Linked DNA regions of Caenorhabditis elegans. The protein of the gene in region 1 interacts with the protein of each later gene in a pairwise test. Each region holds a gene or a part of one and is shown in the gene's direction. Other genes may lie near its edges.

Region 1 (5,478 bases):
GCACTTTTTCAAATGACACTATCTGACAAAATCACAAAAAAGAAATTGCAATAAATTAGAGAATGTAGAGAGAAAAAGCTGATAAATTGACGTCTTTCTGGTGACTCATGTAAGAGGAAAAGATGAACGAAAAGGATTAGTATGGGATATTGTTGAGGCGATTGAAATAGTTTTAAATTTTGATGAGTAATTGAGAAACGAATACAGTTATTAATTCAAAATATTTGAAAGTTAAACGTAGAGTAGTGCCAAACTTCTCAACATTTTTTAACTTTGAACTAACTTTGAACGGAATTTTCGGCTTGAACTCTAATCTCAAAATTGAAAAGTTTACTTTTTTGCCATCTATTCCGCAATAACAGTAAACGTGAAATTATTCACACTTTTTTCCATCTTTATATACTCTCTCGTTCATCTACCAGTTTTGTATTGTCCATTCGTCCATCACAAATTCCCATTCATCCCGTCATCTGGTGTATTCTTTCCGTTTTTGATACTTTTTTGTCTGTGCCCTGGAAAAGAGTTGGATGGAAAGAGAGAGTGAAGGAAAACGATGGAAAAGAGCAGAATTAGCATAATTATGACACTTTTTCTCTCGCCTCTTCCCTATTTTTCTCAACCCCGCGCTGCTCGAATGAGAAACGTCTCGAATAGGTTTTAAAGCTTCAACTTTTTACTGTTCTAATGTTTTCATTTATTTCCAAGAATTTAGTTGATCATTCACGATTCCCATGGCTTAGGTCAAAAATTAGAAATACTTTGCGGAATTCTATCACAATGCAGTTATATTTTCACATTTTTAGAACTTGTCCTAAAATACAAGAAGTTATCTTTATTTTCAACATCTGGAAAAAATTCGTTTTCAACATCTAAAGCGACAATTGGAAAATTGTCAATTGAAAGTCATTTAGTTAGCGGCTTACATTAATACAATTGTTTGGTTAAACATATTTTTCAAACGCCCTCAAAAGTCCAAAAAGCACTCGATATTTTGGAGATTAGCAAGCACGGCATAAAAGAAACAGCAAAAAAAGAAAACGACACGTGTCATATATTTGGCTGAGAAAGTAGGGATTAGAGTGTCGAAGAAACATGACAAATGAATTGGCATTCAGAAGACGTGCATACATGGCACGACATATTGCTTCGGGAACTCCTTACACTGCATTTTTTGGTTTCCTCAATGTATATTTTGTTTCACGATCAGTCTCCGCTTGTTGTTCTTTTTTCTTATGCTCCAGTGGGAAAAATGTTAAAAACTACACCTATAGTGCACCCATGATGAAAATATCATTCTAACACTTTCCAACATTTTTTGAAAATGTTATATTTACATTAATAGCAATTAATCAGTTTCCACCTATCATAATTGGTCCAATACATTGTTTAATTTTAAGTTCGCTTCAATTATTTACAAGTGAACCTAGAACCTAGGTCTTCGCATTTGCAGCATTGCTCTAAATTAATGAAAAACTCCAATTTTTTTAATTGGCAATTTACCAACATTTTCATTTGAAAGTATTTTATTTAGATATAATAATAATAATAATTTATTACGCTCGCTGGGAGACGTGAAGGAATACAGAATACAAAAGTTATCATTGTTCGCTTGTACTAGAATTGGTGCAGTCGGGCAATTGTTTCCATTCCATTAGAATGTTGTCCTTGTCCTTGCGTTGTCCTTGCGTAGACTCCCCCATAGTGGGCGAGCGATTCCCGAGTGAAAATATGTAGATTTTTAGATATGTAGATATGTAGATATGTAGATTTTTTACTACATAATTGTAAGTCTGTGTAGATTCGAACTCCATGTTGTGTTACAGTACTTCCGAACACGATCTTAAAACTTTTTGAGCATCTCCCATTTTCTCATTTTAGGAAAAAATTTAACTTATAACTTCGAGGTGACAATTGTTAATTCTAAATTTTCCCACGTTAACTCTCTCTCTGTCTGCTTCTCTCTTGTCCCTCTTCTTCATCGCTCTAATTAATTCGCGTGTGAGACGAGAGAAGAGCATCCAATAATCCATGTCCTTTTCCCGCTTCCTCTCTCTTTCCCTCATCTTCCTATCTATTTTCCATCGGACCATGAACAATTCTGTTGCAGGATGTCATCTGAAGCAGTAGCACAAGCCACAGCCGCCACGACGTCTCCTGAACACGGGGTCCCCACATCATCGGCCACGCCTACTCCTCCGCCGAGCAAAGGGGGTGGAGCCGGTGGTGGTGGGGGAGGAGAGCAACAACAAGTCCCATTTCGTTAGTTTTACAAGAGATTTTGAATTAAAGTGTAAACAAATATACCAGACTTCAAGTTTTTTGAGTGTCATTTTTCAAATTTAGATGGTGTGTTTAAATATTCCCGGATCTTCAAAAATCTGATGTTTAGATATTTGAAAAAGCAAGACAAAATCAAATCAGTTAAAAAAAATATGAAAAAAACACAATAACACAGAAAAAAGGCTCTGAAATCCAGATAGGTTCAGTCTGATTTGCCAGCCCTAGTAAGACTATATTAACTTTTCGTAAGGAATTGCTCCTTCGTTTTGGTCAACCTTTCCTCAAATATTTTCACTCGAAGAATAAGAAAAAATAGAGGGGATATTATTGTTTTTCGAACCTTCTCGATTAAAAATTCCCTGTCTTCTCCTCTTCTTCTTATTTTTCCCCGCCGCCGCCTGACCACAAAAATAGGCTATTATTCATATGGCTGGACGTCTTTCATGTTGCCTTCCCTACAAAAATCTATTTTACACGGAAGTATAAGAAAATATTTTAAATATATTGCACTAGGAAACTTCTGTGCACAGAATGAAAATGTATGACATTGGTTATTTATATTTGCTTACTTAACACAATTAAAATAGGAAAAGCTTGTTCTTCAATATATTCGATTTTTTACAGAAATGATCCCTCCTGGTCATTTTTTCGCAAATCCCTTCTTGAATCCGTATATTCCAACAGCGGGTGCTCCTGCTCAGGAGGGTGAAGCTCAACCTCAGATGGTATTCTCTCCAGCTCAATATCAGGAAGTCATGCATCATTATTTTCAACAAATGATGGCCGCGAGTGGAGCACAGTTTCCGATTCCGTTTCCCATGCAATTTCAGCCGGCTCTTCAACAGCCAAGACCTTCTTCTCAGGTTTGTTTTATAAAGCGTTATTTTACAAAAACAATTGAAACACTGTCAATTTTTCATTAGAAGCAGTTTTTAAAACTGGGGTTGATAAGCTTTAAAAAAATGAAGGAAATGACATTAGTCATCAGAAAATGTATGTTTCGCAATTTTGGAACATTGTTGTACAACTAGAAAAGTTGCGAAATTTATTTTTGCAGAAAGAACTATTTTTAGAGCTCTCGAAATTGTTTTATTCACAATAAAAACATGTGAACTGGAAAAACCATATAATTTTCTGATTTGGCGAATTTGCCACAATATAATAACCTAAGACATTACATGCTTATTGGATGTTTGATGATGCATGGCTGACACCCGCTCGAGGCGTGTGAGAGGCGCCTCCGTCACTCTCTGCCGGCTAGAAATTCTAATTTTGATGTAACCTAGTCAAGCTCACAAGAAGTTCACAAATTCTTATTACAAAGTTATGCTTCTGCATTGATGCAGAACAGTATTTGATATTTCTAGACATTGAAATAGATCTAGAAATATATTACCAAAAGCAATGCATTTATGGCTCCCAAAATTCTCATCTGCACTTCATAACCTTCAAGTATTCTCAGGCATCATCATCTCATCGCTCAGAAGACGATAACGGAAGGCAGACAGCTGGCAGTGTTGTGTCCTCTAATGTGTCACCAAATCATCGAGAGGTTCGTTTACGGCAGAGCCCAAACACTTGAACTCACAAGCAAAACGCTGGAAATTAGGCGAAGTGATGACTTGGGGAGCTTCTTCATGTTCTTCCTGTAGCTCTAAAATAAATAAATGTGGTTCGGGAATTTAAAAGATAAAATTTTAAAAAATGTTCATTAAAATATACTTCTAGTTTAGAAATCAAACTCAGTCTTTAATTTTTAGGTGAGACCAGCAGAAGATTCTACGGAAACAAGCGGCGTTGTTCAAAATAATGGTTAGTTGGTTTTTCACTTTTAGAAATTCAGGCCAAATGCCAGAAGATCAGTCATTATCTCAAACGTTTGGCGTACAGTTTTCACAGAACGTATTAAGTTTCCTTCTTCGTCTAGTGGAATGTAAAACTCCAACTTTAAAAATTTCGAATAAATTGCATTTTCCAAAAGTTCTTCAGAAAATCTTCAAAAAAGATCCAGCATGTATCTCATTTGTCACAAGTGAGCATGTAACACGAGAACATTTTGGTGAGAAGAAGAGACAAGAGAGATATCTCTGCGTCTCTTATCATCTCACACTCTCTCTTTTTGCTCAGCCGATTTACTAATTGTTCCATGTCCGAAAGGAGTTGTACGTCTCCCACCATCATGTCTGGACGGAACTTAGAGACCACACGAAAAGTTGAAGGGATTTCCCCTGAACATTTTTCTAATTGTCAATTTTCAAACCTAAATATGTTTCAGATGAGCTTCTTGTACCAACTTCCACGTCATCCGATGTGACAATTGGTGACGTCATCGAAAAATCAGATTCTCCTGAAAATTCGCAAGAATCAGCGGGAGGAGAGGAGAAAAGTGAAGAAAAGCGGAAATTATCCGGTGATCGAACGGATTCACTCATTCGAAAACAAATGAGTGAAATGGAAAAAGAGATAACACGACGATCACAGAATAAAAATATTAAAACGGTATGTCGTTCGGTTTCGGAATTTTGAGAATTAATTCTTGAAAAAAAAAAGTTTTTCACTGAAATCTATGATCAAAGTTCCTAAAGCCAAATGTGAAAAACTCAATTTATGGAGTCACATAGTATGCGCATAGAATGTGCAAGAAACCTCCAACTTTCCCAAAAATAACAACTGTTTTCGAATATTTGGAATATGCCAAAACTTTGACACAAATTTTTGAAAAAACCTGAACATTTTTGGCTGTTGTTTTATTTCGATAGACCTTTTTTCTTTTAGACCTTTCTACATGTTTTGGCAAAATTTCCACTGGCGCTACACCACTTTTAAACAATAAGCATTAGACCATTAGAACTGTGAACTTTAGATATCGAGGCCAACAAAAATTCGAATATTTTTCCCTTTGGAACAATTGTCTCTTTCTGCACATCCTCGTAACAAATCAAATAATCTAATTTTTGTCTATCTACAACTCTCTTTTTCTACTAAATCTTTTTTGGAGACTCCTGCCCAATTTCACAAATGCACTCACTCACTTCTTCTTCTCCTTCCTTTCTCTTATTTTTTGGCCCATTTTCCACTCACTTTTTTCCATCAAAATCCTCGTTTTCCGAATTTAAAATATTGATTTTCATTCAAAAAAATGTAGAGTCAGGTTTGCTATTTAACATAGCCTATAATAATCTCTAAGAATGTTCCTAG
Region 2 (7,349 bases), on another chromosome or scaffold:
AAAAAGTATGAGAGCAAAGGATAGGTCTACAAAATTGCCCCATCTAACTTTTTTCGTTTAAAATTAGTGTAAACTATAGAAAATGATGTACCTGATTATTCGAAAATAACAAATATTTTAGCTGAAACATATTAGAAAATTCTCAAAAATAACCTGGAAATTGCCATTCATCCATTATCGAATTGTCTAGCAATTGACAACTTCTAGGCTATTTTGAGCATTTATTCAAATGTTTTAGCTCAAATAAATGCTATTTTCAAATTAATCAAATAATCAAATCAAAATATTTTGGTCTCATTGCACCTGGTGCAATAGGACATTTTTTAGAATTAACGCCCCTCATTTCTCTCAAAAACCGATTCCTCGAAAAAAATTTCCTAACTCAAATTTTATCTACAGTCTTATGCAACAGTGCATTGCGAAAGATTTCCTAATGCTCCCACAAACCGCAAAATTTTTTCTCAACATGTACGTTTTTCTTGTAATTTACAGCTTCCTTCCTACTATTTAGCATATTTTTCCAAATATGTTTTCTGATACGCCTTGTTACTCACAGGAGCTAGAACTAGATAGACAAACCAATTAGAACATCCCCCCGGAGGTTTGTATGTTTTTCGGAAAATGATCCATTGTTCAGATCAGTTATGATGTGTCGTGAGATGGGCGGGAGGAAGTGATATCATAAGTTCCCTTTACGGTTTCTGGTATATAATAATGCTCATTTAGTCGTAGAAATTTATTGTTCCGACTGTTCCGGAAAGATAATTTTTCTGTAGATCATTTATGCAAAAAATATTTTTCACTTTTGCATTAGTTTTTGCGTAGCACCCAATTTACCGAACAACTCTCCTTATCATGAAAATGCCCTTGAAATGACTAAATAATTTCACCGGTGCACATACTTTCTATTTTTTCCTTTTTTTCCATTGTCTAGAGCAGCAGCTGACGCAATTTTCCGACCTTTTCACACTTCCCACTCTGCATGCATTTTTGGATTTAAATTGTCTACGTACAAAATATCTTGCACCTGTGATGAAGTCACAAACTAGCTCAGAGATTAATTAGCTCTAGACATAGATGCTAACTGATGGGTTTGCAAGTACCTATGCCTACCTGCGTGCCTTCAACTCCCCTAATGCAGATAACAGTAGCCGTAGGTCAGTTGTAGGCACGGCAGCAGGCATAGAAGTTAACTGTTACAGTAACCACTCACCTGTACATTGGGATCTCCTCATTGATTTTGAGAGCTGACCTACATAGTATATCGAAGCGATTCGATCGCTAAACTCTGAGCTCACAGAATTGGAAACAATGAAAAAAAGGCTGATTCTGCTTTTAGAGTGACCACTTCTAATTTTAGCCGGCCCGGTGGTGTCGTCAAAATTCCTTTCCTGAAATTACGTAGATAATCAAGGCGCGGGCAGGTGAATATTCCATTCAAGACGGGCAAGAACACATGTTGTTGACTTTTTTAGTGTTGCTGCTCGATCAGTTGTCACAGTGTCAAATCACCTGCACATGTGCATTTTTAGGTGCTTCTGATGACGCGCCACGAGCTGCTACTCCGCCTTCTCAATTGTTTGACACTATATAATTCCCGATCGTCTCTCTCTCTCTCCCACTCACCCAATCTGAAAATTCGTTAAAATTCTGAACATTTTCAGATTGACCACTACTAGAGCTCTTCTCTCACTTCTTCTTCATCTTTCTTCATTCAAATCTTACAACTCCTTATATCGACCGCTCATTAATCGGATGCGCGGTCTGTCCGACTGAATGGAACAACTTAGTATTCAAACGGACGAGTTGCAAGATCAGGTACCCTAACCTATTTCTTTTTTTTTTTGAGTAGGCGAACTGGCAGGTGTACCAGAAAAACTGTTAAAGTTCGGTGGAAAAGATATGTGGTAAATTCTATATGTGGTAAATTTTCAGTTTTCCAACTGCTCGCCAGCTTCTGTCGATAGTAGCTACTCATCCTGCTCCAGCGTGGAGGACGAAGTAAGTATTCTTATTCTCATCTTCTGGAAGCCTAAACAAGATTGGGCTTATGCTTAGGATTCGGCTTAGGATTAGGCTTGGGCTTAAGAATTATAGAAAAAAAAATACAAAAATTGCACAATCCCAAAAAAACAGAAAACTCAAAAATCATGTGCCCAGAAACAACGGAAAATGAGATATTACAAAATCTGGCAAAAACTTTAATTTAAATTTTATTTTTTAAGATCGAAATCTACACACGCCTCGTGCGTAACGAAGAACCTCTGCGAAGGGACTTCTTCCGCGAGATGTCGAAAAACTCTTCGTGCTCCTCATCATTCGACTACGGTAATTCACAAAATTTCCATTTCTTCCTAATTATTGGTTTCAGGAGAGTTTGGACCATCTTCCTCGTCTCGCAAAGGCTCCAAAACCACCGATGCCGACCTCGACAGCCTTTTCCATTCTCTTGTGGTGAGCTCTTTTTCCAAGAACTTTTTTAAGATTCCCATGAAACCTTTTTTTTCAAATCTGTGGGAGAAAATTGGTATAATCCTTTTCTGAGCTATAATTTTTTTGAACTTTTTTCCGGCGGTAAAAAAAGGTGTGAGTGGGAACATGTGAATAATATCACCCGACTCCTCGTTTCCCACTTCATTTCAAACTTGGCATCCCCTCTCAACACAGTCATTGTTTCCTGTCGAATCACCCTGCACTTTCCCAACACATTTCGTGCCCGCTTATTAGAAAGATAATTGGATAGGTGAGATCACTTGTAGAGAGAGCCACGAGTGGTGTTGGTTGGAGAGAAATATTTCTCGTTTCAAATTCATTCTACAACTTTTCCACCCAACTAGTAGTAGTCTTTCTCTTTCTTTTTTTTTGGGTGTTGGCGCAATGGTATTTGCCATTAGTCATAGAGACAGTAGCAGCAGGGGTGGGACCCCTAATGCTAACAAGTCACTTGTACCAAAATGTCATTCATTTATTAGTAGTGTTTCTTTTGATGTTGCTGCTTTCTTTTTTGGCTACTGTAAAAAGTAGACCATTTTAGAAAATTTGGCAAGTTGTTTAGAAGTTTTTGGAAGTCGACTATTTTTTTTCACTCAAAATCAATGTTTCAACCTCTAAAAAATTTGAATTCTAGAAACTTTTTAAAAAAATTCTAATTTTTCCCACTGCTCAAAATTTATGAGAGTCTAGAAATGTAAAAAAATGTATCAAAAATCCCAAAAAAAAAACTAGAGTAGCCCCCCACAAAAATGGCTCCGAGTTTCTGAATTTAGACCCAACTTTTCATTGAAAATTACTGTCAAAATCAGGAATATATGCATATTGATTTATCTGAAAATCAGATTTTGCCCACTTGAACCATTGGAAAAAATGCTCGAAAATGGCCTTTTCAACAAGTATGATTTTTGATATTTTTGACCCATTTTTAGCATTTCTCAATAAAATCGCCCTGCATTTTTAAGGCTTTAGAACGTTTTTGGAGCTCTCGAGATAATTTCTTTATTTCTAGTTTGCTTAGCCATGTAGGCGGTAATTTTTCGAGGACTACAACAAATATTTTCAGCCCACAGGCTCTGCGTCATTTTAGACCAGAGAAGAGTACAAAAAGTTTAGCTCTCATAGCTCTTTTCTTGTTTTCTGCTCCAAAAAAACTCTTAACTTCCTCACATAAACAGTCCGAAAACCCGAAAAATATTTAAATGCTGGCTTAACCTTCAGTTTTGCTCAAACACATACACCCACTATCATCCGGCTAATTGATAGATACACGTGCCATTTGGCTCCCCCTTCAGTCCTCTGTGTCCACACCAAAATTTGGCATGAAACACCCCGCAATTTGTCGTCTTTCTTCTTCCTTTCATCCATCTCGAAAACTCTTTACTTTCGATTTTGATTTGATGGTCTCTCTGGGAAACCTGTTTCTATTATATCCTCAAAGTGTCACCTCTCATTCTTTTTTGGCTTCTGTCAGCGACGTCGTCATCACTCTTAGGTGGTCTCGGGGCGTGGACTGACATAATTCCTCGTGTATGCTCTTTTGTCGCAGCTAATGCTCAGGGCTCTGGACTCCGCCCCTTGAAATTTTCCTGGGCAGCCGCCTAATCAGCTGTTTGATAGAAGCGCACTTTTCATATATTCATACTTACTTCCCCCCTGCACCCTACAGTTATGATGAGCAAACGGACAGCTAGCAAAATTGACAAGCCTGTGGTCAGGCTCGGAGATGATCTTAGCGGACTTATGGGCTTTATAAAGTCTGAAATTGAAAGTTTGCAGGAGACAAGCGATCAGGTGAACACTGTACCAAAGCCCACGAAAACCGAAGTCGAGAGTATCCCCGAAGAATTCGAGCAGGTAAGAGCTTCATTCTGCACACAATTATAAACTTTTAATAATTTCAGAAACCATCCTCCTCCAGTCACCGTTTACCATCCGAAATGAACGCCTCAATCACCCATATCAAAAGTGAACTTGACCCAACTATGCAAGCATTTCAAATGCCACACAACGATCTTTTCCTGGCAACCGCCGCACCGCATTACAATCCATTCGCGTAAGTGTCGTCACAGATAACCACGTGTGAATTACTTTTGCTTCGTGTTTTCTACGTAGTACATCGAGCCGAGGATTAACCTCCATTGAGAGCATAAGCTGGTGCTTCCACGAGAGGATTTCTATTGTTTCTTCTTACAGACTTTCGAATGATTTCATGCCGAATCCCTTGATGCCTTCATTCACATCTCCATTCTATCCTCAACACTTTCCGGTATCGGATTCCAGGCGTGGAAGTCAGGGGACAACGAGCTCGTCGAACAATACCGGCGGAACACCATCGCCTCATTCAAGCTCTCTGCCAACGTCACCCCCGCAGTTGCAAGGCTTCTTAAGGTTCGTTTTTGAAATTTGAAATTTGATATTTTAAATTTGAAATTAAAAAAAAAAGAAAACTTTCAGATCCTTCCTCAACCCCGACAACCTCTCCACACCAACCTCATTCGGTGTCCCATCGGAAACAGCTCTTGACGCTGACAAAATGTGCGCTGTGTGCAATGATCGAGCTGTTTGCCTGCACTATGGAGCCAGAACTTGCGAAGGATGCAAAGGATTCTTCAAGCGAACTGTGCAGAAGAACTCCAAATACACTTGCGCTGGTAACAAGACCTGCCCAATCGACAAGCGATACCGTAGTCGGTGCCAGTACTGTCGCTATCAAAAGTGTTTGGAAGTCGGCATGGTCAAAGAAAGTAGGTGTACCCTTTGGGAAATGTTCATTATTTGTGATATTTCAGTTGTTCGACATGGTTCTCTATCGGGGAGACGTGGACGTTTGTCGTCAAAGACGAAGTTGGCAAGATCAGAGGATCAACCATCTCCACCGCTTCCTCTTCTAGCTTTGATGGGAAAAGCAATTGAAGATCATACAAATATGACTGTTGTCCGGCAATTTGTAAGTCGGAAATTTAGCATTTCTTTTGGAAAATGTTTATCATTTAGATGCAACCATTCGATGAGACTATCGCACTGAGAATCCTGCACGGAGAGCTTCATGCCACCAAGAAGCTTCTCATGGCAATGCCACAAATTTCCGAGATTCAGCCAGCCGACTTCCAGATCCTCCTCAGCAGATCTTTCTTCGCAATCATGGCAATCCGCGTGGCAAACCGATGTGGCAACAGCACCGACACAATTATGTTCGAGTCTGGAGAGCTTTTCTCGTTGAACGCGTTCCCTGCCTGCTTCCAACAAATCATTCGATTCATGGTTGACAAAGCACGAACCTTCAGCTCATTGGTTGACTGGGAGCCTCAGGCATTCGCCGCCTTTATTGCTCTTCAATTTTTGGCTGGAAACACAGGTGTGTAGAATTTAAACCCTAAAAAGCTTCAGCAAAGTTTATCTACTCCTCATTTCATAATTTCAAAATTTTTTCAGAACATAACGTACTTGGATTGACCAACAAACCTCTCGTCGACCAGGTTCAAAGTACCATCATCAATGCTCTCAAGGATCATTGCAGCGGATCTCAGAACAAATTGGCCAAGATCGTTAGATTGGTAAGTTTGTCATTTTCAACGTGTGACGTAGAATCTAGCGGGGAAGCCTTGTAACACGCTTTGAGGGCAAAATTTGCACGCTTCTAATGCTAATCCATGTCTGCCAGGAAGCAAAATTTTTATTTTTTATTGAGGGTTGCACTGAGAGCAAGTATTCCAGACTGACATGCAAGTAGGATGTCTAGTATAACACTAACTATTCAATTTTCAGACCCAAGAATTCGATGTATTCCATGCTCTTGGACTCCAGGCCCTGGACATTCTCTATCCATCACACCAGCTTCCAGAAGAGTTCATGTTCCTTATCAATCTTACACGTGCTCCATTACGATCTACGGATGCACCGCCAGCTTGTGGAAGCCCAGTTGCCCCATCTGGAAGTTCACTTTTTAACTTCCAAATGGGCCCGGCTGCCTTTTAAAATTTTTTAAATGTTTAAAATTTTAAAAATTTAAAATTAATATATTTTTCAAAATCGCTAGCCCCATTGAATTGCATATCGCAAAGATTTCTAATTTATTTTGTTTCCCCACTACTGTCTCAAACAAAAAATCACTTCCAGAAAAATTTCAAATAACTTGTTACCGGTACTTTCCCAACAATTTTTGCTCCTTGAACCTCAAATCTCTCAGAATTTGTCCCCCCATTCGGTTTTTATTTTATGAAAAGCCTCTAGTTTTTGTGTGAATTCCAATCCCCGAATATCAATTTTGTTTTGTTTCAATTTTCAGAGTTTATTTATTTTAACTGATATTTCTTGAAATTATTGTATAGAAAAAGAAAACCATAAATTATATATTTTTACATTGTTTCATTTTATTACAAAGCACCGGAGAGAGAGGGACAAGAATACTGTGGGGAAGGGGTATACTGAAGTTTAGAGAGCAATTCCTGGAGAAAAAGGTCTGAAGCTTAACAAAAATTATTTCGCATTTGTCGTTTGTTACGTCTCATGTACTGGAACGCGGTTTTCAGATCGGTTTTCAGCTCGCAGCGGCTGAATCCACGGTCGTCAATGATGGGCTCCGGATGAGCAAAGTCTGGGCACTTCTTCCCTGAAATTTGAAGGTTTTTCGAAGTGAAGAAGGCATGTGTCCCCTCAAATAGAAGTGTGTGACGTCACACGTTTTAAGGGGCATTGACCTACTGTATCATAATTTACGCGCAAAGTTTCTGTTCTGGACTGTGCTGAACTTGGTTGAACCGCGGAACCCGCGAAACGTCCGTGCAAGAACAATCGGGACATTATTTCCTTTTAATATTAAAGTTTTCAAAATGTTAGGGTTCGCCTCAAACTGTTCT
Region 3 (4,009 bases), on another chromosome or scaffold:
TTCTTCTTTTCCTATTCACTACAATCTATGTGCAGTAAGTTGATATATTACTATTCTCATAAAAATATCAATGTTGCAGAGAAGTTCTGAAAAGTTTCGATGTGTCTCCCAGCGCACTATTGGTTTTGTTTGGACTGGGTAACTATGGAGTTCTCGGAATGATGTGTATACATTGGAAAGGTCCATTGCGTCTGCAACAGTTCTACCTTATTACAATGTCTGCACTAATGGCTCTGGTCTTTATCAAGTACCTACCAGAATGGACTGTGTGGTTTGTGCTGTTTGTTATCTCGGTTTGGGATCTGGTTGCCGTGCTCACACCAAAAGGACCATTGAGATATTTGGTGGAAACTGCACAGGAGAGAAACGAGCCAATTTTCCCGGCGCTGATTTATTCGTGTAAGTTTCCTAATTTATGGAATTAATATTCATGACGTTTCAAATTCTAAAACATTTTCAGCTGGAGTCATCTATCCCTACGTTCTTGTTACTGCAGTTGAAAACACGACAGACCCCCGTGAACCGACGTCGTCAGACTCAAATAGTGAGTATCACCTAAAATTTTCGAATTTTTATTCCAAAACTAATTTCAGCTTCTACAGCTTTTCCTGGAGAGGCGAGTTGTTCATCTGAAACGCCAAAACGGCCAAAAGTGAAACGAATTCCTCAAAAAGTGCAAATCGAATCGAATACTACAGCTTCAACGACACAAAACTCTGGAGTAAGGGTGGAACGGGAGCTAGCTGCTGAGAGACCAACTGTACAAGACGCCAATTTTCACAGGCACGAAGAGGAAGAGAGTGAGTGAAAAACGTGCTGAAAAAGGGCAAAAGGGGATGTATTTTCGCAAATTTTACTCGAACTTTCTCACTTCTAACTCAAATGTTTTTTCTTGACAGCACAAAACGAAAATATTGCCGTCTACGTTCGGTATCGAAATACCCCCTGCAATTTTCATTCGTTTTTTTTTCACTGTTTCAATTTTTCTCAACTTTTGAAGAGCAATGCCGCCCACTCAGCTGAATATATTTTGTTCATTTAAAGTTCAAAACTTTTCAGTTAATAGATTCAAGAAAGATCTCAAATAAACTTGCAAGCTTGCCACTTGCGCTAGTCACGAAAAAAAGGATTTCTTCAATAACCCTCTGTTCATATTTTTTTTAACAATAATTTTTCATCTCTTCATATTTTGATATGTTTTGCAACAAAAAAATGATTGCAGGAGGTGTGAAACTTGGTCTGGGCGACTTCATTTTCTACTCTGTTCTCCTCGGCAAGGCTTCATCGTACTTTGACTGGAACACGACTATCGCTTGTTATGTGGCCATTCTTATCGGTCTCTGCTTCACTCTTGTCCTGCTCGCCGTCTTCAAACGAGCACTCCCGGCTCTGCCAATTTCCATTTTCTCCGGACTCATTTTTTACTTTTGTACCCGCTGGATCATCACCCCATTTGTTACACAAGTCTCTCAAAAGTGTTTATTATATTAATTCTCTGTTTTTGCCATTTCTTTGCATCATCAACTTTTCGATTATATCTTGAGCGATCTCAAAGCTTTATTTTACATACCTATTTATTTTTGAACTTTGTCATTTAAGTTATATAAATAATTTATTAAACGTTTCTGCTATTTTTTTTTCATTATTCTTGATCCTATGCTTACAGGTGCTTCAGATTCCTTTTTTGCTTTAGAAGTATCATCAAAGTGTTTATTTAAAGTATTTCAGATGTTTTCTTCACGTCATATTTTATCAAACGTTCGTCCAATAATAAAGGTAAGTTAAGGTAAGTAGACATATTCAGTTCCAAAGTTGGAAAATTAGTGAAACAACATTTTTTATAAAGTAGTTGAAATACATAGTGAATTTCTTGTTAAATTAAAAATGTAGCAGAAGTTGGGATAAATTAAAAATTTTACTTTCAGAATCTAGACCTGACCAGAGGGTTTTCCGACAGGAAAACAAAATATTTTGACTTGAATGACCTTATCAAAACTGTAAATGTTACCTACAAGACTGGAGTAAACCTGGAGGAAACCACAACTGTCGAGTCAAAATATGTAGTAAGTTTTTTTGTTTTTTTTTTCAAAAAATTAACCTTTAAATTATTGCTTCAGGATGTCACACCTTCATCAAACACAAAAGGAACCGTAGTGACACTATCAGGATCACCTGGTACACATAACGATTTTAAGTACATGAAATCGTTTTTTGAGCAGAAGAAAATTCGCTTAATTTGCACCAACTATCCCGGGTCGGAATTTGTAACGGGTGGCTTGCACAATAGTTATACAAATCAAGATCGAAATTCGTACATGAAAAGTTTAATGGAAACACTGGAGTTGAAAAATGTAAACCGACTTATTATAATGGGACACTCGAGAGGCGGAGAAAATGCACTGCAACTTACAAGTATGTTATCGGTGAGTTGTCTGAAAAGTTTCTTCATAAAACCTTATGTTCAGAATGATGAGAACTGGCCACTGGTTGGGGCAGTGATGATCAACTCGCCAGGGTTCGCTCCGCATAAAGGAATCAGTAAAAGGTATGTACCCGATTTTTTCCTTAGTCTACCTACTGAAAAAACTGCTTGCTGTGGCATCAGCTTCAGTTCATCTACTTTGATTCCTTAGCAAATACTTTTAAAACGATGTTTATATCAATGTGAAAATACAGTAAAGGTTACATTTCGGTTTAATTAAAACAGATATTTTTGGAAAACCAAAGCTGAAATTTTTACAAATCATTTGTAATTTGTATTAGTGGCCACATCCCACGAATGAGCAAATTCAAAACTTGGAAAACTAGCTAAACTAGCTGTTCAAAAATTTAAAGAAATTAACAAGTTTTACAGAATGGGCACTATAAACTTCATTATATCTTTGATCAAACGTCACAACAAAACCATCAACTCAATCCTTCATCCAATTTTGCATTATTGTAAGATCCCCACCCCCTTCCCTCCAAAGATTAATATAATATTTTAGTCTACAACAATCTCATCGGTTTGCGTGTTTCTCATGGAAAAGTAGCAGCCGCTGCAATTCTGCCTATGCAAACTTTTGCCTTTGACGAGCAAAAACTTTCAATTGACGATCTACGTGCAAAACCTGGAATTCGCGCGTTCTATGGTTACGGATCTAAGGATTTTTTAATTGATGAGCATCAATCGGAAGAAGTTGCGATGTACTTTTCTGAAGAAGATCATTATGTAATTTCCAACAAACAAGACGCGGAAAAAGCTATTAAAGAAGCCAGGAAAAGCTTTACAACTGGAAAACAATTTGTCACAGCAAACTTCAAAGAAGAAGGTCACTTTCTGCAGAAGACATATCCCGAGTTTATTGTAGAAGTTGTGGATTCTATTTTTGATGCTGACAAAGAAGTCGATACCAAAATTTAGATGCATGTGTAAATTTAGATCATATAGTTTGATGGATAGAATTATGAATTTCGATTGTTACTCTCTGTGTGCCTTGCCAGCAAGTTGATAAACTGGTACTTTAGAATATGAAAAAGTGATTTTTTTTTAATTGACAACAATTCATTCATGTGCATTCAATTTTCATCACAATAACAAGAATAAGCGATATGAGATTCTTAACCAATTTGAAAGACTAGTAAATACCTAACCGGACTCAATGGATTCCATTTGTGTAATATTGAAACGAGTCGTAAAACCGTGTTGTGTAACTATCCCGAGAACCTTCTACAAGCGTGTCGACGAGTTGTTGGAGCTGCTCGTCAGTGCTGCTTACATGGAATCTAGCTTCTAGAGCTCGAACAGTCTCTGCGCCAGCACGGAAGCATTGCATTTTTGATCCTGAAACTTTTTTAGTTAATTATCAAACAACTGAAAAACCCCCTCTTTACGGAGTTTCGCTAATATTTTGGTTTTTCACAAGCTTAAACCACTGAACAATTTTTCTGCGGCACAGTGATAAAGATTAAACTTTTATTTTGGACTAGTTAAAACCGAATCTTTACTTCACACAGCACTACTGTTTTT

The links. Proteins that work in one complex are often made in the same cells at the same time.
Region 2: the proteins of lin-10 (region 1) and nhr-6 interact in a two-hybrid assay, tested with the Caenorhabditis elegans proteins (one large-scale study listed by BioGRID).
Region 3: the proteins of lin-10 (region 1) and F35H12.5 interact in a two-hybrid assay, tested with the Caenorhabditis elegans proteins (one large-scale study listed by BioGRID).

The regions. Positions count from the first base shown.
Region 1 is NC_003279.8:8,115,944-8,121,421, reverse strand, and holds the start of lin-10 (Protein lin-10), read left to right. Parts: upstream 1-2,107; 5' UTR 2,108-2,108; coding exon 2,109-2,259; intron 2,260-2,904; coding exon 2,905-3,143; intron 3,144-3,742; coding exon 3,743-3,832; intron 3,833-4,040; coding exon 4,041-4,092; intron 4,093-4,555; coding exon 4,556-4,779; intron 4,780-5,478. UniProt on the Caenorhabditis elegans protein: Required specifically for the determination of 3 vulval precursor cell fates P5.p, P6.p and P7.p during late second and early third larval stages; required for basolateral localization of receptor tyrosine kinase let-23.
Region 2 is NC_003281.10:3,571,923-3,579,271, forward strand, and holds nhr-6 (Nuclear hormone receptor family member nhr-6), read left to right. Parts: upstream 1-1,658; 5' UTR 1,659-1,776; coding exon 1,777-1,818; intron 1,819-1,928; exon of another isoform or gene 1,929-1,935; coding exon 1,936-2,001; intron 2,002-2,225; coding exon 2,226-2,328; intron 2,329-2,371; coding exon 2,372-2,454; intron 2,455-4,269; coding exon 4,270-4,347; intron 4,348-4,394; coding exon 4,395-4,546; intron 4,547-4,686; coding exon 4,687-4,881; intron 4,882-4,947; coding exon 4,948-5,237; intron 5,238-5,282; coding exon 5,283-5,440; intron 5,441-5,487; coding exon 5,488-5,848; intron 5,849-5,925; coding exon 5,926-6,047; intron 6,048-6,258; coding exon 6,259-6,468; 3' UTR 6,469-6,849; downstream 6,850-7,349. Other genes in the region: C48D5.3 (TIL domain-containing protein), read right to left, coding at 6,960-7,102. UniProt on the Caenorhabditis elegans protein: Transcriptional activator that induces gene expression by binding to the NGFI-B response element (NBRE) 5'-AAAGGTCA-3'. Required for proper morphogenesis of the spermatheca and the spermatheca-uterine valve formation.
Region 3 is NC_003284.9:916,669-920,677, forward strand, and holds F35H12.5 (uncharacterized protein), read left to right. Parts: upstream 1-1,728; coding exon 1,729-1,776; intron 1,777-1,925; coding exon 1,926-2,063; intron 2,064-2,117; coding exon 2,118-2,423; intron 2,424-2,465; coding exon 2,466-2,545; intron 2,546-2,854; coding exon 2,855-2,940; intron 2,941-2,987; coding exon 2,988-3,403; 3' UTR 3,404-3,509; downstream 3,510-4,009. Other genes in the region: Presenilin sel-12, read left to right, coding at 1-34, 80-399, 461-544, 594-800, 1,223-1,491; pifk-1B (Phosphatidylinositol 4-kinase beta), read right to left, coding at 3,639-3,823.